Linked DNA regions of Alligator mississippiensis. The protein of the gene in region 2 purifies or fractionates together with the protein of the main gene of each other region. This does not show direct contact. Links are inferred from orthologs where the notes say so. Each region holds a gene or a part of one and is shown on either strand. Other genes may lie near its edges.

Region 1 (7,479 bases), on a different chromosome or scaffold from region 2:
CAAACTTATTCATGGTATGGAAAAAATCAAGGTTATAAAGTGCAAGATCCTAATTTCCCGGTACTTTATACATCTTTCGAAGCTCTTGTGCAAGTGTGTGGGCTTAACAGAGTTGCAATTTCCAGGCTAAATCCTGATTTAACATGCTATATGCTGAATGCCACAGCTGTAAACATAAAGCCAATGGGAGCTGAAAATACCTAGCACATTAAAAGGAATTTGCTTTGCACCTTGCAAGATGAGAATTCTAGCAAGTAAAGCACAGTAAACAGATTGTCAACTCCAGTTCTCCTACTAGGCAGCAAGTACATGATGACTCAGTCCATGCAGTCTCTTCTCTGTGGTTACATACCCTAATTCCGATGTAAATGTGGGACTCTATAATGGCCGCATTGTGTGCTGCTGACAAGCTGCCAGTTGAAATCCACTTACTACTCCTAGAGAAGTGCTACTTATCATTAGTGAAAAGACGGACAAATAACGGCTGTTGTTATCAAAAGTAATGACCACCACCTTTCAGCACCATCAGCTCTTGTATTAAGTGACCCTATTTTCTAATAATAAATTCAGTGTTAAGCTAGTCTTTACGTTTAGCAACTTCTTCATTCTTGTACCATTGCAGGCACATACCCATATTCTGAAAAACTATCAGCAAGGCCGTCTAAAGATTCTCAATGTATTCCTTCCAAAAGCATATAGAACATGTAGGCAGGCATACATTAACTGGGGCAAACACAGGAGGACTGTACAGACCTGTTTTCAGGGACGGAACTGGAAAAAAAAACTAGTATAAAAGTGCTAATGTGCTTCAGTGGACAGAGCGCTGGACTTGGTTTCAAGGGACTTGGGTTCTATTTCTGACACTGACCTGTTCTTCCCTTTCTCTGTCTTGCTTATATGAACTGCAGTTTCTCTAGGGAAGGAGCCATCACCTGCCACACGCAGTACCCAACATGCGGTGTTTAGATTTCAGCTGGAACCTCTAGGCACTTCTGTAAAACTAAGTATTCTTTTATAGCACTCTATCTTTGAAAAAGTTTGCAAATACTGGCTAGTTATTACTCATATTTGTCTGCCTCAGATTATATTAATTATCCCATTTTACAGATAAGGAAAATGAGACAACAACGCTTAGGGAAGAGGTTCTCAGACTGTGGTTCATGGACCATCGGTGCTTTGGAGAGTATTTATTACTGGTGAGCTTATCAAGTTTATTGCCTGATATCAAATACATTAGAAAAATGAAAAAAAAAAAAAATTAGACATTTTTCTAAAATGACTCCTACATGCAGTCAATTACTGTACTTACCACAGAGCTATTACAGTCACACATGGGAGAGTCATGTGTGCACACTGGTGGTCCATGAAACAGTCCCTGTAGTAAAATACAGTCCACACATGAAAGTCATTGAGAACCCCCAAGTTGGGTCAGAATCAGTGGCAGGGTAATCATGAATATTGGAGCAAGATGACACCACCTAACTAAACCAGATGTGCCCACTAAGCAACTCTATACACAAAACATACTGTAAATATTTGGAAAACTGTATCTAAGATACTAGAATTCATAAAGCTGTTCCTGCCAACTTCATCATCTATGCACAGGAATTCTAAATTTTTACACAAATACAGTTACTTTTTCATTTTTATGCATGTTCTTATCCAGTATCTAACGGATGCATTTCTATTGCATCCTAGAAAATGTACCACTTTGCTGGTATTGCTAGTAGGAATGTACATTTTACAGCATGAGCATGTATTCCTTACAATATTCACAGCAAAAGAATATACACAATGCCTTTTACTTTGAGCACAAATTACTAATTATATGTCTTTGCTGCTGTGCAAGAGTAATCCAAGTAAATGTGTGAAATAGCATAGAACTATATTATTAATTTAATTCAATAATTTAAATCCACCCATTAACATTCAAATTTAGCATATATCACCTTGTAAGCAAACTCTGATCAGATTACTACCTTTATAACTGAATACAGATTTATTGTAAAAAATAATAATTTCCAACAATACTACAAAATTCTTACAAACACATTTAATTTAAAATTTAGTAACCCAGTGAAATCAGTCCTGACTTTACACAGTGGTTTTTCTCTTTGTTTACTGTGTTTAGTTGGCACACTGTTGAGCAGCACAGTCATGACTTATCTCCATGCCACAGTATACTACAACCAACGGTAGACTTTGGGGTTGCATGGGCTATGAACAATGCCAGGAAATGGAATGAGCAGATTATGTGCTGTAGTCATCCCGCCCACATGCAACCAAGAAAAGAGACCTAAATCTGATTACCTGCTCAATGTAGGTAGTGCATCTTTCCTCATCCAATTCTACCAGCAGTGAGAGATTGCACTTCAGTTAATTCACTGTTTTTCCCTATGCCAATTTGTTTGTACAGTGAATTAGTATCAGAGTGCTTAGTGAAAGACAAAGAATCAGTAAGTTGTGTCCAAAGCTCTTATCAGTGTCAACTATAGCTGATAATAGTGAGTGGCCATGAACAGGCATTCACTTCTGCTTCTACCAGTGGAAGTTTCTGAGTGATCATACAGGCACTCAGCCTGCCACCACCCTCTCCCCTTCTCAAGATTAGGGTGATCCTGGCCTAGGGTGCGGTGACTGCTCCACTTCTCCCATCCCATTCGGGGGGGGAGGGGGTGGAGCAGTGCAGAAAGGCTCCTTTACTTCCACAGACCAGACACGCAGGTCTGGGGAACAGGTGGAGTCCTTCCCTACTGTTCCACTTCCCTCCTGTAGACTGGTCAGGCAGCCAGGAAGTCACTGGCCTGGCGAAGCACAAGGAGCATTGCCCACTACCCCAGGGAGACCTTTCCCAGCCCCCACTGGGTAGCGCAGGCAGCAAGGGTAACCCAGCAGGGGCAGAAAAAGAGCTAGGAAGAGGTTCCTAAGCCCTGTTTCCGGCCCCAACATCACTACCCTGCTGGTAGTCCCTAGTTTGGGGACGAAGTAGGGGGCAGAAGTACATCACACTGCTAGTAGCTCTAATGCTGCCCTGGTAAAAAAGTGCCAAGGGCAGGGGAGTCACAGTAATTTGTATCTGCCAAGCAGAATACAGAAAGCAGACAAGTTAGTACTTTATTCCTCAAGTTTTAACCACTAGAAACCAACAGTAGCATCTACCAGAAAAGGCCTTTATTGTGTATGTCACGGTAAGATCAGTTCAGATTTCAGTGCAAGATAACTAGCATGTAGAAGAGGGATGTCAAAGATACTGCCCATGGAGCCCTATCATTCAGCCTGAGGTGCTGCCCGTGGTTCTCTGACTGGACCTAAGCACTGCATGTAGCATATGCTCCAGACCACCCAGAGGAGCTGGGTGCAGGGACAAGCAGGGCAAGACCACCCTTCTTTCTCCCTGCTCCACCCCCTGCCCCAGAGGCACAGGGGAGTTTTGTCCAGGGTGCAAAAAACTCATTAGTTAATGCCTCTACTCCTGCTTGTTTTAGGTTTATCAGAAAACCCCAACACAGACTGGAGCACGTGGCGACACACTGGTGGCAAACGAGAATAAGGAGAGGCAGCAAACAGTGGCTCTGAACCAGGGATGCCGGCAAGCTGCAGGGGGCTGCCCTGACTTGGATACGACCCAGAACCACTGCACTATGAGACTTCTCTCAGCACCAGCGCTAGTCAGGGATACAAGCAGAAATCAGTAGTGTAGACATAGTTATACCAGGAAAAAACCCAACTTTTCTTGGTACAGCTCATCTCCCTCATGGGAAGCAGCTCTAAACTTTGTCTCCAACCCACAGCTGTGCTGAGGAAGGAGCAGGCACACCAGGATGGGGTTTACTGCAGGGATACAGGCAGGGGCAGAGGGGTGCACTTGCACTCCCCCCCAAAGGTTACAACCAGCCGCCTGGCAGCGACAGCAGCCTTTCTAACCAGGCAGGGCGGAGGAGGCCGTTTGACTTCATGGCTCATTACAATCTACTGGATCCCTTCTCAACTCTTCCTTCTCTTCTTTTTACGCAGTCCCTGAAGCTGGCCTCTGCTCTGCCACACTGCTGCTCCTGGGAACAAGTGCCCATTTCTCCACCCGGCGGGTGGTTTTCCCCTCCTTGCCAGAAGCTGGATTTGGTTTTGCTGCCGTCTTCAAGGGAACAGTCCAGCCCTAGGCCCGGGCCTCTTCCCCCGCATCTCCTTCCCGTATCACCGAGGGGAAACGCGGTCCGTGCTGTTCTCAGCCTCCGCGCCCCGACCCCAGCTCCTCCACCCGCCCCCGGCCCCGGCCCCGGCCCCGGCCCGGGCCCGCCGCCTCAGGCGCTGCCCCGGCCCCAGCGCCCCCCACAGCCCGAGCCCGAGGCCGGAGAAGCGGCTCCGCCTGACGCCAGCGGGCAGGAATGCGCCCGCGCCCGCCCCCGCCCCGGAAACAGCGCGCGGGGCGCCCGGCCCGGCCCGTCCCCGGCCCCAGCCCCGTCCCGGCCCGGCCCTCCCCCGGCGCGGCGCGGCAGCACCGGCACGAGGCGGCGGGACAGCGCCACGACACGAGCCTGCGCCGCGAGGGGCCGCCACGGCCATGGCCAAGGTAGGGGCTGGGCCGGGCTGGGCTGGGCTGGGCCGGGCCGGGCCTCTGCGGCGGCGGCCCCGGGCACTTGCGGAAAGGGCCGGGGCCGCTTGTTGCGGTGTCCGGGGCAGGCGGCCCCTTGTGCGGGGAGGCCCCGGGCGGGGACAGCGCGGCCTCCGCGGCGCCGTCATGGCCGGGACAGCGGGGAAAGGAGCGCGAGCGGGCGCTCCCCGGCCCGGCCCGGCCCTTTGTGTGGGCTGGGAAGAGGTTGCCTCGGGCCCGCTCCCCCTGCTGCCGAGCGGGTAAGGGGGGCTCTTCCCCGCTCTCCGCGCCCACTGAGGGGGGGGGGGTGCGCGACTCCCGCCTGCTTCGGCGCAGGGCGGCCGGGGAGGATCCCTGGGCCCCCCGCAGGGAGCTGGGTGCCAGACCAAGGTGTGGGCCCAGTCAGGCTGGATCCTGAGCAGGCTGCCCCGGTTCTGGTTTGGTGGGGCACGTCTGGCTGCCGACTCAAGCCGTCCAGCAGGGCTTGTTTGCACTTTTGCTGGGCCTGCCTTCAGCGTGTCAAAGCAGACACAGCCGACCCGTTTAGTTGCTGGCCTGTGTCCTGGGCTATATCTGTTTTGTTACCCCAGCAAGATCTAATTCAGACTATCCCTGTTTCTGGGAAAGTAGAAGTCCCAGAGAAGGAGGCTATCACACAGCATGCGCACAGACACCACAGTTATTTCTTTATGCAGAGAGGAGATACTCAATTAGAGGTAGGATTTTTTAATATTCTGACTAAATACCACTAGTAAGTAAGTTAGGAAATATCCCCTGCAGTAGGACTTTAGCAGTCATAATAGCAATCAGCAGAGGCACAGTCTAAACTTCTACACTCATGATGATGAAACCAATGATTCATTTTCTGGTCACAAAAATATTACTTACCCCAGGGCAAATGGGTAATTGGCATTTTGCAAGACTGCCTGAAGCTAACTTGTAAGGCTTGTTGAAGCAGTGAGCAATAAGCAACACGCAGTCAAGACATGGCAAGTTTAAAGGGCGTTTTAGTCTTAGTTTCTGTCTTTTTTGAAGTATTTAAACAGTGACAGGGTTCTAGCCTGCAGGGCTGTCAAGCAGGAACCCATCTTCACAGGGAAAGAAATTACTGCTAGAAAATACTTCAGTACACTGTCTGTGGCTTAGTGGTTTGATCATGGGGTTAATACGTGTGAGAGCTGAAGTCATTTGCCTGCCTGCCCGCCCAATTTACTATGTGACCCTGACCAAAGTCACTCTCTCTCTCCACATGAGCATTAAACTAACATGAAGAAAAAGAAATGTCAATTGGATCCATCATTGATAAGCACTTTGTAATCCAATTAGAAAAATTCAGACAATAGCTTGAAGTATTCATGCTTTTTCATGATTGTTAATCTTTTATCCAATCCAGTTTGAAGTATCCCAAGTGATTGGTCATCTGATATTTCCCTTGTATATGTAGTCAGCTGGAGGACTGAGTACCATCCCCCACCCAGAGCTTTCCTGGATGTTTAGTACAAGTTTCTTTGTTCATGATTTCATCCCATAATGCCTCAGAATTCTCCTCTGTAGTCCTAGGATAGGTCTGCTACACTATACTGAAGTGTAGATGACTATGCTTCTCTGCACCACACTAAATGCCTTTGTTACTTTTGGTATGAATAACCTGTTATTTGTAAAATAGGCATCACCTTTCCCTTCACTCCCTGTCATGGTTTAGTAGAGTTGTGGTACTTATTTAGCTTTAACATCTTCATGAGAAGTTGGTCTTGTTACTATTTTCTGAAGTCTCTAGTTGTCAATTTTATTTAATTTTTAAGATGCCAGGTTACTATAAATAAGTGAGGGAAGTGCCAGGTGTAGTTGTACCAGGAACTTTAGCAGGCAGGACTGAGGTCCACTCAGAGGAGAAGTTCCTTTGAATGATAAATTCAGAATTTGCAACAAAAAGAAGAATCAGTACAAGGAGGCAGTCTCGCCCATTAGACTGTTGGCGCGGGGGGGGGGGGGGGGGGGAAGAAGAGAAAAAAACCCCAAAACAAACCACACTAGTCATCAAGCTATCATTATTTAATATTAGTCATCAAGTCGATTAACTCATATGCAGTTCCAGGCACATGGTACCAGAAGGGACAATAGGTTCAGTAAATTAAGTTTGGAACAGTCCAGCAGAGCCATAGAGCCTGGGCTTGACACAGATGGTTTCAATTTCTCTCATTCCCTGGATTGAATGAAGTTATATGGACTCCTTATGCTTTGGAGCAAATAAGGCAATAGCCAACACAGTCTAGCTGACCAACCCAACAGGCCTAGACTGAAGAAGCCCTGTCATTTTTAGCACCCCCAAGATCCAGGTAGCAGACTGCACTGTGGTTTGGCTGGATCTGGTGATGGAGCTCAGGTGGAGAATTTTTCAATCAAATACACCCAGTTTCTAGGAACATTACTACTTTAGGATGTGCTTTCACAGACTTTGTTTTAAGCATTAGTCAGAGTTTAATTTCAGCTTTTCCTTAGGAGACAGCATCAGAAGACTCCATTTGGTTCGAGACAGAAGTTCGATAAACTATTTTGACTCAAGTCTGATAGTACATTTCATAGATTTCATAGACATTACGGCTGGAAGGGACCTCGGAAGATCATCGAGTCCAGCCCCCCGCCCAAAGGGCAGGACGTCAGCTGGGGTCATAGGATCCCAGCAAGATAAGCATCCAGTTTCATCTTGAAGGTGTTCAATGAAGGCGCTTGAACAACCTCCGGCGGCAGGCTGTTCCAGACCTTGGGGGCTCGGACAGTAAAGAAATTCTTCCTTATGTCCAGCCTGAAACGATCTTGTAGTAGTTTGTGACCATTCGACCTTGTCATCCCTTGGGGCGCTCTGGTGAACACACGTTCCCCCAGATACTGGT
Region 2 (6,894 bases):
CCTGACCCACTGTCCCCAGGCCCCAGCTCCCCAGTGTGTGGGGCAGCAGGGGTGGGGGGGTGGTAAGAAGCCCTTTGTAGGCTGGAAGTCTTACAGCCTGCAAGAGAAAAGCCACAGTTTCCCATGTTTTACTTCTTTAGAGGAGAATCCATTTTTTAAGTTTGTTTCTGACCCTTTTGTATAGTCTTGCAACCCACTTTTGGGTTGTGACCCACAGTTTGAGAAACGCTGCAGCTCACCATGCTGATCCAATGGAGTTTTGCACCGTAACTGGAGAACTGTAGTAACTAGTGCTAAGAGCTACATACAAACAGGACTTATGTGAATTGCAAAGTGATATCTGGCTTAGAAGCAGGGAACAGTTGGATATCAAGATAATCCAACCTGTGGGGCATGGAATCTCCATCCTTAGAGGTTTTTAAGACCTGGGTAGACAAAGCCTAGGCTGGGATGATATAGCTGGGGATGGTCCATCTGCTTTGTGCAGGTAGTTGGACTAGATTAGTATTTTTCAACCTGTGGGTTGTGACCTAAAAGTGGGTTGCAAGAATATATGCAAGGGTTGCAAACAAACTTTAGAAATGGAAAAAGAAACTTAAAAAATGGATTCTCCTTTAAAGGAGAAAAATGTAGGAAACCGTGGCTTTTCCCTTGAAGGCTAGAAGAGTTCCAGCCTGCAAGGGGCTGCTTGGGACCCACACTGCCCCTCCCTGCCCCACACATTCATGCCAGCCCCACACACTGAGGGGCTGGGACCTGGGGATGGGGGGCCAGTGGGTTAGGAGCGAGGGGCACTGGGGTGGGACTGGCCATTGATGTTTATAAAAGGGTCCTGGTACAAAAAAGGCTGAGAACCAATGGACTAGATGACCTCTTGAGGTCCTTTCCAAGCCTAATTTTCTATGGTTCTATTATGACTCTATGTCCATAGGGTGCATCTACACGTGCTGATTTAAGCTGCATTAGCTATTTTTAAGGTGCATTAAGGGCACAGATCTACATGTGTGGGCCCTTACTGTGCCTTAAAAATGGCAATTTTAGGCTATTCATGCCTAAATTTGATTCCTGCAAAAACAGAGATCAAATTTAGGCACAAATAGATAAAGTGCCCTAATGAATATGTAAGCACCCTAAGGTGCATTAATGCAGTATATGTCAATTGACTTGGAACTCACTTTAGTCTCGAGTCAGTCCTCACGCCACGTTAATGTGCCTTAGCACATGCTTGTAGACACACACCTAAATTGCCTTGATGCTCATTAGGCAAATGCATATTCATAGATTCATAGAAGTAGGGTCAAAACGGACCTTGTAGATCATCAAAACTGACCCCCTACCCTGGGCAGGAGAGAAAACTGGGCTCAAATGACCCCAGCCAGGTAGACGTCAAACCTCCTCTTAAAGACCCCCAGGGTAGGAGCCAGCACCACTTCCCTTGGAAGCTGGTTCCAGATCCTAGCTGCCTATTAAGTTTAGGCGTGCATAGAAGCACATGTAGACACGCCCTATGACCTCGGGGGAAGACAAGGGCGGGAGGTTTCAAAAGACTGTGTTCTCCAGAGGTTGCCAGGTAGACTGGAGTAAAATGTGTCAGCAATTTATAACAATGTCCTCCCACACAGTGACCTGCCCCTGTGTCATATCCCTCCCTTTGCCCCTGGACTTCCGGTCATTCTCTCCCTCCTTCCTGTCGTTATTGCTCTGTTCTTGCTTTGCCTCACATAATGTTTCTTCATCTTTCCTCTTGGCATTCTGCCGAGAGTCAAACACAAGGTCAGTGAGTGTACATGTGCCAGGTATTCATGCTTGGGGTGAGCACTGTGTGCAGTACAGTTCCCAGAGCATCTGGAATGGGGGCTGCTGGCAGCATGCATCCTGGGTTCTGCTCATGGGGCTGGTCTGGGTCAGTCGAGACCCAGGGGCAACACCAGGGGCTGAATAACAGGACACTGTGGGCTGTGTGCTTGGTACGGACTGTGGAGATATTTTGCTTTCCTGTGTAGCAGAAAGGTGTGGCCCTCTACCGGGACCTCTTGAGCGAAAAGGGACACTTGGCCCTTGGTTCAAAGACCCCCTGGGAGGCAGAGCAGACAGGGAGAATGAAGAGGACAACGACACAACTGGACCTGGAGACAATGAGGAAGACAGCATCAGAATCATCAGCAGCGGAAGTGACAGTGCCGTCAACAGTGACAAGGACAGGGAATGAACTGAGAATGTAAACTCCAAACCAGCAGATTGGACAAAAGGACTGCAGTTGGGTTAGGGAAGGGCAATGGGTCGGTGTGCGGGGGCGCACGGGAGTGGGTGCATTTATTGTAATGGGTGCACAGCTTCTTAATGTGGTTTAAGGTGTGATGGAAAGTTTTATACTAGATGATGTGTATGTGTGTGTATATATATATATATATATATATATATATATATATAAAAGAAGTCTATTGACAACATTTCACAGAAGCAGGATGCTGGCTGCCGTGGTTCCCCTGCTTTACCTGTAGTTAGCAGGTTAGGGTGTTAGGTCTATGTTGTGTCAGGGTTGAGGGTAGTCTGATGTAGTTTAAATTACGGTTGTATGGGATGGTTTGGACAGGGATGATCCTGCCTCAGGCAGGGGGTTGGACTGGCTGACCTCTGGAGGTCCCTTCTAGCTCTACTTCTCTATGACTAGCTGCACCCAAGTGATGCTCGTCTGTGTCTGTGCTACAGAGTGGTGCCTGACTATCGTGAGGGCCAACCTTTTCAGCAGATGTGACCCAAATTAAGCTCCACACCCTCCCTTAGTGCCATTCTGATCCCCCTCCCCTGCCTGATCTGCTGTTCTGCTTTTTACTCCTGCCCTGTGCTGTACATCTTAATGGATCTCCCCATCTGTGCTGTTGTCCTTACAACACTTCCTGTTATGGGCATACCCTAATTCTCCTTCTTAATAGCACTGTTTGCTACAGGACTGATATATTTGACAGTAAATCTGCCTTCATCTGTTTCAACTGAGTGCTTAAAAATTAGCTTGGCTTAGCCTACCTGGGTGTCCTTGTTGTGGGACACAGGCTTCTTGCTTTACAATGTATTATATTTGGTACTAAACTCTGGACTGCTAAATGTCTCTATGAATTTAAAGATAACAGTTGCAAACTCGGCTTCTCTACAAATGCAACACGGCATCCTTTTTTGTTCCAAGCCTGATGCAGATCAGGGAAGGTGCCTGTTGTTCGCTGGAAGCGATCTGTTGATTCCAGACAGCGGCTGAGGCAGGGCAGGGGAAGAAAACCTCTGCTGGTGAATTTAGACTTTCCTTGCAGCAAAACTCCCCTTCTGTGTTTGGACTTCTCTATTCCAGGGAGCATTTAAGCACGTGACACCAGTGGTAGTCGACTGGCAGAGAGCGGCAAGGGAACAATACCCGCACGTGGCGTTTCCAGTGCGCGCTGTCTCGCTTACTGGGAACTCCCCCCTTAACCAAGTCCATGATGTGCCCAAACCTGTAGCTTGATTGATATTTGCACCAAGCAACATCCATACACACCGCGCTGCCTCGGCTGGATTCAGGGTAAGGCCTGAGCAGCCAGGAGCAGGGCGGGTATTTCCGTGCCCCTCTCGTGCTAGTGCTCGCTCTGCCCTTTCTAGTGTCTCAGACCCTGCTCGCCCCCGCGTCCCCAGGGCCCGATCCCGGCTCCGGGCCGAACCGCCCCCGGCCCCGCCAGCCTCGGGAGACGCGGCCTCGTGCTCCGGACAGCCCGCAGGGCCCGGCCGCCTCCTCCCGCCGCCTGCGGGCGCGGCGCTCGCGTGGGCCGGGCCTGAGGTACGCGGGGCGCCGGGGTGGGCCTCGCGGAGGTGCCTGGGGCCGCCCCGCCGTGAGGGAGGAGCCGGGCGGCCGCCGGCAGGGGGCAGCGCCGGCCCCGCGCAGCAGCCCGCCCGGGAGTCGCCCGGCAGCGGAGCGGAGCGGAGCAGAGCAGAGCAGAGCAGGGGCGGCGGCGGCCGAAGTTGTGCGGCGGGAGCGGAGCGGAGTGGAGCGGCCCTGCCATGGACGATCTGGGTGAGTCCGGCCCGGCCCGGCCCGGCCGCGCCGCAGCCTCCTCCCGCGCGCGGCCCCGGCCCCGGCCCCGGCCGAGCTGCTCCCCGCGGGCCCGGCCCGGATCCGCTCCGGGAGTCTCGCAGCGGCCGGGGCTCGTGGGCGGCCCCCGGGGGCCTGCTCCAGCCCCGGGGCGCGGGGCTCTGCGCGCTTCGGCTTCCCCGCCTGGGGCCCCGGGGGAGGCCGCCCCGTGCTCTGCGCTTTCTTCCCCGGCCCGAGGACGTGGTTCTGCTCCGGCCCGGCCCGGCACTGCCCGGCGGGACTCCCCTGGCGGCTGCTCGCCCGCAGACAGCTCGGGCCGCGCCGGGCCGGGCCGGTGCGGAGCCGGCGATGGCCTCACACCGTGGGAGCTGAGCGGTGCCAGCTGCAATTGTTGCATTCCTCAGATTCACCGAGGCGGCGGCGGCGGGGGGGCTCTGCCAACTGACCTGTGCTTTACTTCAGCAGTTGCTTATTTCCCCCCCTTCATCAGTGGGAGGATTTAAGGTGAACTGCAAAGGTGGTCTGGAAAGGTGGGCTCCTGTCCTCTCTGCACTGCTTTACCATGTGTAGAGAAGCCACCCCTTCCCCCCAAGTTTAGTTTAGTTTTATTATTTGTTTCTTACCTTAGGGGGATGGATGCCTGATGTTTTGAGTTTCTTCTCTGCTTGTTCTGGAAGACTTCTTAGAGGTCTTGAGGCTTTTTCATGCTTTGGTTTAACTAGTCCTTTCTGGTTAGATGTGAAGCATGTAGAGCACAAGCAGCAACAAAGCAGGAGTTTTAAGCAGTTTGAATAAAAATCTCTTCCTATCTGAGCAGCACCGGTTTCACTCTTGTGTTACTGGCAACCAGCTCTCAGTTTGTCCATAGAGTCTTGCAGGAAGAGGCAAGGTCTGAATATTTTATGGAAGGAAAAACAAACAAACAGAAAAGGGAAATACTTCTTTCCTCTTAATAACTTTTCCTGCCTACAGACTGTTTCATCAAGAAACAACCCAGCTCCAAGGCTAGTTGCTTTCTCCTTTGCAGAGCAATGGTAGTGTCAAAGTCTTAGCCTTGGGTCATATACAGGGGAGGGGCAGTGTGTTGAGTGGTGCAAGCCAAATTCAGGCTCCACTGAAGTGAGTGCAGTTACACGCTGGATGAATTTGGCCCTATATCTTTTAAACTTTTTGATCTAATGAAAAAAGAATGACCAGCAAGAGTGCAGCTTTCCTGCTTCTGGGACTGGAGATCTCAAAAGCTGAACACAGCAGGTGAAGGGACTTGATTTGGATTGGTTTTTAGGGACTGGGTAATCTAGAACAGGTAAAGCTTTGCTATTGCTTTTCCTTTTCCTCTCCAGCATCGGAGAAATCTGTTTTGCAGCGTGCAGGAAACGCTGGTGAAGAGTTCTGCAGATGGCACTTGTCCGTCCCAGCAAGTGGGAAGCCTGCGTGTTCTTTGTGTGAGACCGTATTGGGGGAAGGGTGAGGAGTTTGAGCAGTTAGCAGATCTGGACACACATCTCGTCTGGATCTTCCAAGATGGGGACATGCTTGAATGCTGATTAAGAATGACAGTGAACCAGTTTCTTTTAAAAATATTATCCACTAGTGTGTAAACTGCAATTACAGTCTGAAAAGGAGGGAAAGCCCTAATTGCAGGATCACCTCCTCTTCTGCCTCTAGAATACTAGAGAACAATGCAGTGCGATGTACAGCAGGAAAGGATGACATGGGCACTCCCAGCATGAGAACCACCAAATACTCATACTTGTGATTATATTAGATGGCAGACTAAGACACTGAAGAGAGCGCTTGTGGTGCTCTGTTGGGTCCGACCAGGTATCCATATAACCAGCTTACTAGAATCTATCACACTCACAATAAAGAAACCTGACTTATTTCCTAGGTAGTTACAGTATTGGACCTGCCATCTGGGGATAGTCTTACATTTGCAGTTCTTCAGTCAATTGGAGATGTAGCTTGATTAGGTGTCCTTGTCTTTCCTTATAGCGTGGCAGAAGCAAGCTCTGTGTAGGAATTGCTCTTCCTTCTATAATAAAATATAATTTTTACTAGACAGTGAACTTCATTAAAAAAACCAAACAAACTTTGTATGATACTGTTTTAACCTCTCAATTACTTTTTGTTCGGGATGATGTGTGGTGCTTTTCACTTAGTTTGGACCAGGGGTGTGCAACCTTCTGGCCCCGCAGGCTGCCTAGGTGTATGGTAATGGGGCTAGTTTGTGGACTAAATGAATCCCATGGGTGAGATCAGTCCATGGACCTGAGCCAGGGTCAGCAGACAGGGTCATCTGCAGGTGCAGTCTGGCACACCCATCTGGCTCCACGCACTGGATCTGACTGTGTATTGATACCATGCGCTGGCCTGACTCCATGTGCCTGATCTGGTCATGAAGTGGATTTGGCTATGGAGTGACTCTGAATTCAGTGCATGGGACTGTCATCTGGCCCGCAGGGGAGCCACAGCAGTTAATGTTGCCATCTCTCCCCTGCCACCAAATTTCCAAACTCATGGAGAGCCCTGTGGACTGGAGGTTGAGCACCAGTGATTTAGACAAAAAAAGTCTGTTTCACTGAATTCTTTGTCTCTGGTTCTTGTGGACTACACATCATTACAAAATTTGGATTTTCAAGTATTGAGGTAGATGTTAGTACCCATAAACTGTCTTCATTGACAGGATGGAGCTGCAGACTTTGCAAACCTCTACTAGATTTTGTGCTTTTTAATTATTTTAGTAAGTCACATTTGAAAATTGTTTTTTTTTTTTAAGAGCTCTTCTTTAGTGACTTTAAAACTTTCTGGTTCTGTGCTGTTTTTTGGGATTGCAAAAT
Region 3 (7,506 bases), on a different chromosome or scaffold from region 2:
ATATGTACTTCTAGATTATGGTTCTATCCATGTTTCATGCTACTAAGAAATCAAGAACCAAGATCTAAGATATATGCAGCATTTCCTATATATAATTACAGAATCACCCTAACTACCACCCAAATGCAACTTTTCATAATAATTCTCATTGAATTTGCTCAGTGGATTCTGAGATTACTTGTATAAAAGGAGCCAACTTTCTAGAGGACAAGAGGCATTTACAACTACTTAGCCTTTTCAGCTGGAAAGAAATCAAAAGATTCAACTGAGCTATGAGATGTGTTGCAAATCTGAAGTCCTAGTCCATAAATACCCTATCTGAAAATCCGTTAAATGAAACTTTTATCCTGATGCATAATATTTTCAGATTACATGTTAATTAGAAAAGTCTACATAGTCAGTCTCCATAGGAAAATCTGGCCTTAACATTTAGCATTTTCAGATTACACATTGTTTAAGAGGTCAGTTTGAACAGGAAAATTCGGCCTAATTGCTTTTTTTTTTCCCCTTTTAAAAAAGGACTGAAACTTTATATACCCAATCACATTTTTACTATTTTAATGTTCACTATATAGACCTGATATTTAAGGTTTTTTTATATACTGCTGATATTTTAAAGGGCTTACAAATATGAGAAACCAGTGGTTTCATGTACATGAAGTTGAGCGGGGGAGAGGAAGGTAGGTATCACACCTTTGCTACTGCGATTGTTTTCATTTGTTTCTTCTGCAAGGCTGGCCGAGCATAGCAGTAACATATTGATTTAGCTAGTAAGGCAAGTTACCTAATCAGTAGGAGTCAGATATATTTTTAAAAGAAAACTGAAGCTCTGTGGGATACTAGACACGACAAATTCAAAAGGGGAACAGAGCTGAGGATTTCTTTTGACTTCGTTCATAATTGGCCATTTCTATTTTATAAAATGTAAATCATTGCTGATATTATGCATTTGATTAGCAATCGTTAAAATATATTTATTTGGAAAGTACATAGCTTCATGTTTGCTCATTTTTGCTGTGTCTGCTGCTTAATATACCAGTAATCAGATATTGTGATGAGTAATCCCTCAGCTGCTAGATCAGTTGGACACTTTTTTTCAGTAACTGAAACATACCTTAAATATAAAGTTAAACTGTTGCTGAATTCACACAAATTGTATTCAGGCATGTAACATTGATGCATGTTATAAGAATCTAGAATGAAAAAGTAAAGAGAGAGAATAATCCTTTAATTCCCCCCCCCCCATGAAATAAAATCTATTCATTACTAATGTCTGTTTCTTATACTTAAAATAATACTTAGAGTACTATATGCTTTATATTCTTTCAATCAACTACTGTAGTTTGACTTTCGTGTCAGTTTATAAATAATATTTTAACGTCTGCCTTCATTTTAAGATAGATGATCTCCAGTTAAGGCTCTGTATCATTTTTGTCTCATAATTCTGAGGAAACTCAAACCTGGCCAATAATCACACTTGTCTAATTTATTCATTTTTTTTTCTTTTCTGAAGTGCCTGCACACAGTAGGTATTTTACCAAAGTCAAATCTGACCAGTGCACCCATTTGCCTTATTACAGAAAAGTTTCCCCCTTTTAAAATAAAACAATTCTCAACTAAGCAGCAGGCATTAACTTGATTAGCTATATATCTCAAATCAAGTACTTAAACATTTGCAAGCCTCTACAGTCTTTTTCCTCTGTCTACTATACCAAGGTACAAAATATTTGTTCCTTTATATTACCAAAACTTTAGTCCAGAGAAAGTAGTATTTTTTTTCCTTTTTCTTTTTTGTGAAATGGCCAGCTTGTTTTATTTTGTTGTTGATAAACTGAACATATCACCAGTCATAATTAAAAAAAACAAACAAACAAACAAAACTTGTAATTGATTCTTAAAACTGCTCCTAAAACTCGCATGGTTAGAAGCCATTATGCATATGTTTTTAAGATGCGTCTGGAAAAATCAAAGATTCAGGCCCAACGTCTTAGACATTTCTTTCATTGTTACTTTTTGGGGGGGTATGTATTATAGCCATTGCTAATCTTTCTTTACTGTGTGCCTTAAAAAGACATAGTTATATTCCAATATCCTCAGAGGGAATGGTAGTCAACTAAATTTACCTCTAACCCACTTTTCCCCAGTTTTTTCCTTTCTGTGTTGTAGGGTGTTAATCACTGACCAGGCAAAAGCAACGCTAAGGATGTCTGAGAGGCTAACTAACAAAAAAGATCTGAATCATTATCTTATAAAATTTAACCATGAAGTTCTCCTTTGCATTGAGGATTTCTCACTGCAGTGATACACAATGGTCATGTTAGAAGGCTGTTTGACCTTTTGGGGGAAAAAAAAAAAAAAAAAGTGTCTGCAGCATAGTCGACTAACAAACAATCCCCAAGACAAACCTATTAAAGTATAAATTAGCTCCAAAGAAACTTCTGGAGCTATATGGATAGTGATTGCTTTTCGGGGAAAAATGATTCCTTAGATTGATGGATATAACTTGATTGTTGATGTATTCATTAATTGTAGCTTTACACTGTAATATCCAAAACAAAATCTGTTTTTGTTCCTTTCTACACCATATCACACTGTATTTTATAAACATTTGGAAACATTTATAAACATTTGCAACATAACAGAAGAGTGTTATGTCAAAGTCAATTATAACATTTACATATAGCTATGAAGTAATAATGGCTCTCTCAGACAGCTCCAGAAGAGTGACATTGTACTAAATGGTTAACTAAATATTGCAACGCCAAACCAAAACATTTTTTTTATTTGCATAGTGTCTAAATATGAAAGTATCCTAAGCCCTCTGCAACAACACAAGAACAGATTAAATGCCTAAAAAATATGCAAGATTAAAAGCAACTCTAAAAATCACTATGAAGCTAACATTATGTGCCAAAGGCCTTTTGAAATTTAAAAAAGGAGGGTTTTTCAACCTGTTTTAAAAGGGGCTAAATCCAGTAGTCCTCTCCAGGTCAAAAAGAAAAGCATTCCATAGTTCAGGGGCCTGAGGCAAGGACACAGACTGTACCCCTTCTGCTCCTGCAATCCAGGCTCCACCAGCCCCATCCTCCCGGACCTCAGGGGGTGGGATGGCACACAAAGAGGCTCTTAAAGGTATCTGGGACCATGCGATGCATCAAGAGTGTTTGACTGATTCTCCTGTTGTTATCAAATACCTAATGGAAGCGCTTATCATAAATTTGGCAATAACACCCTACAGCAGCCACACTTTGAACTTGGATCGCATCTTTGATCCCGGGGGGTGAAAAGTGGGTCAGTCAGCAGCATTATCCCCATTTCACAGAGTGAAACCGAGGCACCCGGGATGGCCCCCAAGCAGGAAGGGGGAAAAGAGCTGGACAAAGAACCAAGCTCTTGTCTCAGCCAAAACACTCGATCTTACACCTCCAGCTCTCCTGTGAAATGCGAGTTCTCATCTTCACTTAAAAGAAATTTTACAATCTTTGCACTCTCCTATGCCTGAGGAAGGGCAAGTGTGCCCAAAAGCTTGCAAATCTTTTGTTTTTTGCAAATATCTAGTAGGTCTAATGAAAGATATCATCTCTGCCACCAGCTCTGAGTCCTAAGCAACTGGACACTTAAAGCAGGGGAAAATCCTGGTGCCTACTGTGCCAGGAGCTTGCAGCACGGGCTGCATTTCAGAAGGGCTTGCAGGTCCAGAAGGGAGCGTGGCTTTGCCCCCTGCAGCTGCCTGGGCTGGGGCGGGTCAGCAGCCAGGGCAGAGGGCGAAACCCCCAGCCCTGACCTGCCCCTCGCCGGGCCCAGGCGCTTGCGGGGCTGCAAGGACACGGGCCCAAGCCCCGGGAGAGGGGGAGAAGGACGAGAGGCTCAGCCGCCAAGGAGGCGCCTCCGTCGTTGCCCCCTGTCCCGCGCCCGGCCCCTCGGCCCTGCCAGCCTACGTGACCTCCGCTACCCAGGAGCCCCGCCGGGCCGGGCCTGTGCGCCAGAGGGAGCTGTCCGGACCGGAGCTCCGCCTCGCACGGCGGGGCCGTGTCCGCGGGAGGAAGCGGGCCGCGGGCCGCGTGCCGGCCGCTGGTGTGAGGGTGAAGCCGCGCAGCCGAAAAGGGCTGGGGGTGCTTCCCAGGACGGGTCCCGCACCTCAGGGCGTGTCCCTACGGCTCCTCCACCCCGCGACGGGCTCTGTCAGAGTCGGCCCGGCTCCTTTAAGAGAGGCCGCCTCTAACCGGCTGAGCCCCCGGCCCGGCCCGGAGGTATCACTCCGCCCCTCGGGGCTGGATCCCTGCCCCGCCTCCACCCCACGCTTGCCACCGCCCTCCGCAGCTACCGCCCCCCCTCCACGGCCCACGCGAGGCGCCGCCGTGTCCCTCCGCGTCAAGAGCCGGGCACTACTTCCTGGCGCCCCGCCCAGGCTGTAGAGCGCTGCGCGCGGCGGATGGATACATCCGCGCACTATAAGAGCCGCCTTGTGCGCGGCGCCATTTTAAGCTTCTCGCTCAGGTCGGTGGCGGCGGCGGCGGAGGAGGGAGCAGAGGAGCCGGGATCGCCCGAGCGGCGGCGGCAGCCGGAGGCCGAGGAACCCCACGCTTGCAGCGTTAGTGCCGCGCTCCCGAGCGGGATTGGGGGGCTGCGTCTGTGGCGAGGCGGACCGGGGCGGCGGAGCCCGCGGGGGACAGCAGCTCCGTCCCGGCCGTTTTGGGGCCCGCGGGCCCGGGTGGACGCCGCCCCTCGGTACAAAGGGCCGGTGCGGTCCCGGGCGGGCGCGGGAAGGGGCCGGGTCGGGGCCTCCCTCGCCCTTTGTTCTGCGCTGACCCCGCTGTAACCCGAGCCGGGCTCCCGGCAGGGCTGCGGCCGGCGGGCAGGGCAGGGCGCTGGGGAAAGCGGGTTTGTTTTGAGAAAGTACTCCTCAGTCAGGGGAGGGGCTGGGGCCGGGCTGCAGCGCCCGGAATGGGCCGCCTGGATCCCAAGCCGTGGCCCCCGGGGCGAGGGGGCGGGAAGGAGAGGGAGAGAGGAAGCAGTGCCGGGAGCCCGCTCCGCTTTGCAGCCAACTTGGGGCTCCCCGGACTTTTGTGTGGTGGAGAAGCCGAGTGGGGCGGTCTGTTCTCCGCTTCGGCAACAAACCCTGCAGACAGTGTGTGGAGCTGGACGGGAGGCTGCAGGGGACCGGCGGCGCGTCTGTAACTGAAGTTGTTGTGCGTTTGGAAGCAGTTCACAATAGTTCGGGTTGGGAACAGCAGGACGGTGGTGACAGCACAGGCGGCCACAACAAAACTTTTTTGTTAGAAACATCATTAAACTGCCTGTTGTGAACAGCACATGAAGAATATGACCTCACTCCTCATTATTTTAAGCTTCCTCTGCCCTTGAGCAGGTTTTTTGCTTGATCAAGGTTCTGTAAAACAAACTTTGGTAAGAGAAACCAGACTTAATTGGCTCCCTGATGGTCTAGTTGGGAGGGGGGGAAATGGTGTGTGTATTGGCATGTGACTAGAAAAATCTGTATGGCAGTTGAGCTGCAGTGAAGTAGGTTCAAAACCAGGCTGCATTGAACTGTGCTGCAGACTTGTACAAACCCACTAGTTCAGGGAAGCGTGTGTTTCTACTGAGCAAAATTATTGTAGTAGTAAAGGATGGTGAGGTGTGGGCTCAATGTGTCTGAAACTTAGTCTGTCTAATTACAGTGCCTTAAAACACCCCCCCCCCCTTTGCTATGCCTCTAAATTGCTTGGATTTTGTTGCTGCTTTGACATTGAAAGGTCTTCAGTAATGTAGCTTGCAACCTAAGATGCCTTCTCCCCCCCCCCATGTTCTCAGACTTGTATTTAAAACAACAAAGTTAATTCTCTATCAGCGAGCTGTTAAATATAGGGAGTTACTAGTTATGATTGATATAGTGAGGTTTTTCGCCCTGCTCTTTGTTTCTGGGGGTATGTTGGCTAGACTGTCACTCTCTGAACCCTTTAAAAATGTAATCTTTTGGGCACAAACACCCTTCTTCAGGCATAGGGGGAGACTCCCCCTATGCCTGAAAAAGGGTGCTTATGTCTGAAAACTTGCAAAGAACAATTTTTTTTCAACTATTCAGTTGGTCTAATAAAAGATCTCGCATCTACTTGAAGAACCTTGTCTGCAGATGTCCTGAGACCAACAAGGTGACAACCCTTAAAAATTAACTTAATTTATAGCATTAATATAGTCTGGCTTTCATAGCTGATGGAAATAATTACTTGGATAACTGTCAGCATAATATACCAAACTTGCTTAATATAGTATAGTGTGAGCAGATGTTAAGTTCATTATCATTTTGATGAATGCAGGCTCCATGATGAGATGCTCTTTTCTCCAGTTCTTTTTATGTTAAGTTTTTTTTTTTTTAAAGTAAACACAAAAAAAACCCCAACACCCCCCTTCCCCCCCCCCCCCCACCTCAGTACCGTAGGTTGTATGCCACAGAGGCTCAGAGCTAAAACCCTAATGTTTGGGGCTGCTATGAATAAGATGGGGCTAATGACATCAACTAGATGGAGCATTATTGCAGCAGTGTGGGCTGTAGTACAAAACCAAATCACCATGATTTGTAGTACAGTACAGTAGTCTGTTGTTCGTTCTGTAGCACTGAATCAAATCCTTAAGCAGTTCCCTGATAAAGCTAATGTTGGAGCAGGTTGGTGTAGACTTTAATTGGCATCGCAGAATTCTCAAACCTGCTTCTGCTGAACGAGGATTACTTTTTTATTAAATGAAAAGTGGCACTTAAATTTACTCAATCTTGCTTGAATTGTTTAATACAAAATGCATTTGTTCTAGGCATGTGGTACACCCTGACAGAATCAAAATTGAGCTAGGTATATCCAGGCTGGAACTGGGGGGATTATAAAGCTCCATGTTATAGGGCATGTATGACCTAGTTAGAAATATTCCAAGCCATGTGTAGTCCTTACAGTATAGAGCTCTGTAGGGTAATGCCAGCTCTGTTCTGGCAACAATATAGGTGCCCCCCAGTGGTCAAGAATCTCAACATCCAGCAGCTATTGAGGAAGTACTGTAGCTTAGTCAGTCTTTTTGCTTTAATCCAGGGAGTGCTAGTAAAATAAGCTTGGTCTTGGTGTCAAGCCTCACTCTGTTAGTTCTGTTTAATAAGCATCTAACTCATGTAGATAACTCTTCATTGTAGATTTTACAGTGATAGAATGGAATTGCAGGCTGGTTACTGCCTTAACTTCACAGTTTCTCAGAATTCCTATGGGCATTTTCCTTGTAATAACATTGATTCTAATAGCTATCCAGTTGTTAAGCCACAAAGACTAATGGTTAACAGCTATGTGGAAGGCTGACTAAAATAGTCCATTTTTGTGTCCAGCTCTAACTTTATTTTTTCCATTCCTCCCCCCCCCCATTTCTGTGGCAGTTTATAGGGGTTTGAGGGTGATTTGTGAAGTACCACAGCACAGTGAATCCGTTTGCAGGTTGGGATGTGAGGACAGACTCCACAGCTTCCTAACCTGTTAC

The links. Proteins that work in one complex are often made in the same cells at the same time.
Region 1: the proteins of PXN (region 2) and ITGB1 purify together in Homo sapiens (affinity purification with western blotting; 3 studies listed by BioGRID and IntAct, with this or other methods). This does not show direct contact. The link is inferred for Alligator mississippiensis from reciprocal best matches to the Homo sapiens genes PXN and ITGB1.
Region 3: the proteins of PXN (region 2) and CTNNB1 purify together in Homo sapiens (affinity purification with western blotting; 3 studies listed by BioGRID and IntAct, with this or other methods). This does not show direct contact. The link is inferred for Alligator mississippiensis from reciprocal best matches to the Homo sapiens genes PXN and CTNNB1.

What each region holds. Positions count from the first base shown.
Region 1 is NC_081828.1:193,421,631-193,429,109, reverse strand, and holds the start of ITGB1 (integrin beta-1), read left to right. Parts: upstream 1-4,456; 5' UTR 4,457-4,558; coding exon 4,559-4,567; intron 4,568-7,479.
Region 2 is NC_081833.1:21,181,966-21,188,859, forward strand, and holds the start of PXN (paxillin), read left to right. Parts: upstream 1-3,882; 5' UTR 3,883-4,023; coding exon 4,024-4,036; intron 4,037-4,047; exon of another isoform or gene 4,048-4,584; intron 4,585-4,677; exon of another isoform or gene 4,678-5,063; intron 5,064-5,397; exon of another isoform or gene 5,398-6,894. UniProt on the Homo sapiens protein: Cytoskeletal protein involved in actin-membrane attachment at sites of cell adhesion to the extracellular matrix (focal adhesion). Recruits other proteins such as TRIM15 to focal adhesion.
Region 3 is NC_081828.1:136,000,820-136,008,325, reverse strand, and holds the start of CTNNB1 (catenin beta-1), read left to right. Parts: upstream 1-4,483; 5' UTR 4,484-4,591; intron 4,592-7,506. UniProt on the Homo sapiens protein: Key downstream component of the canonical Wnt signaling pathway.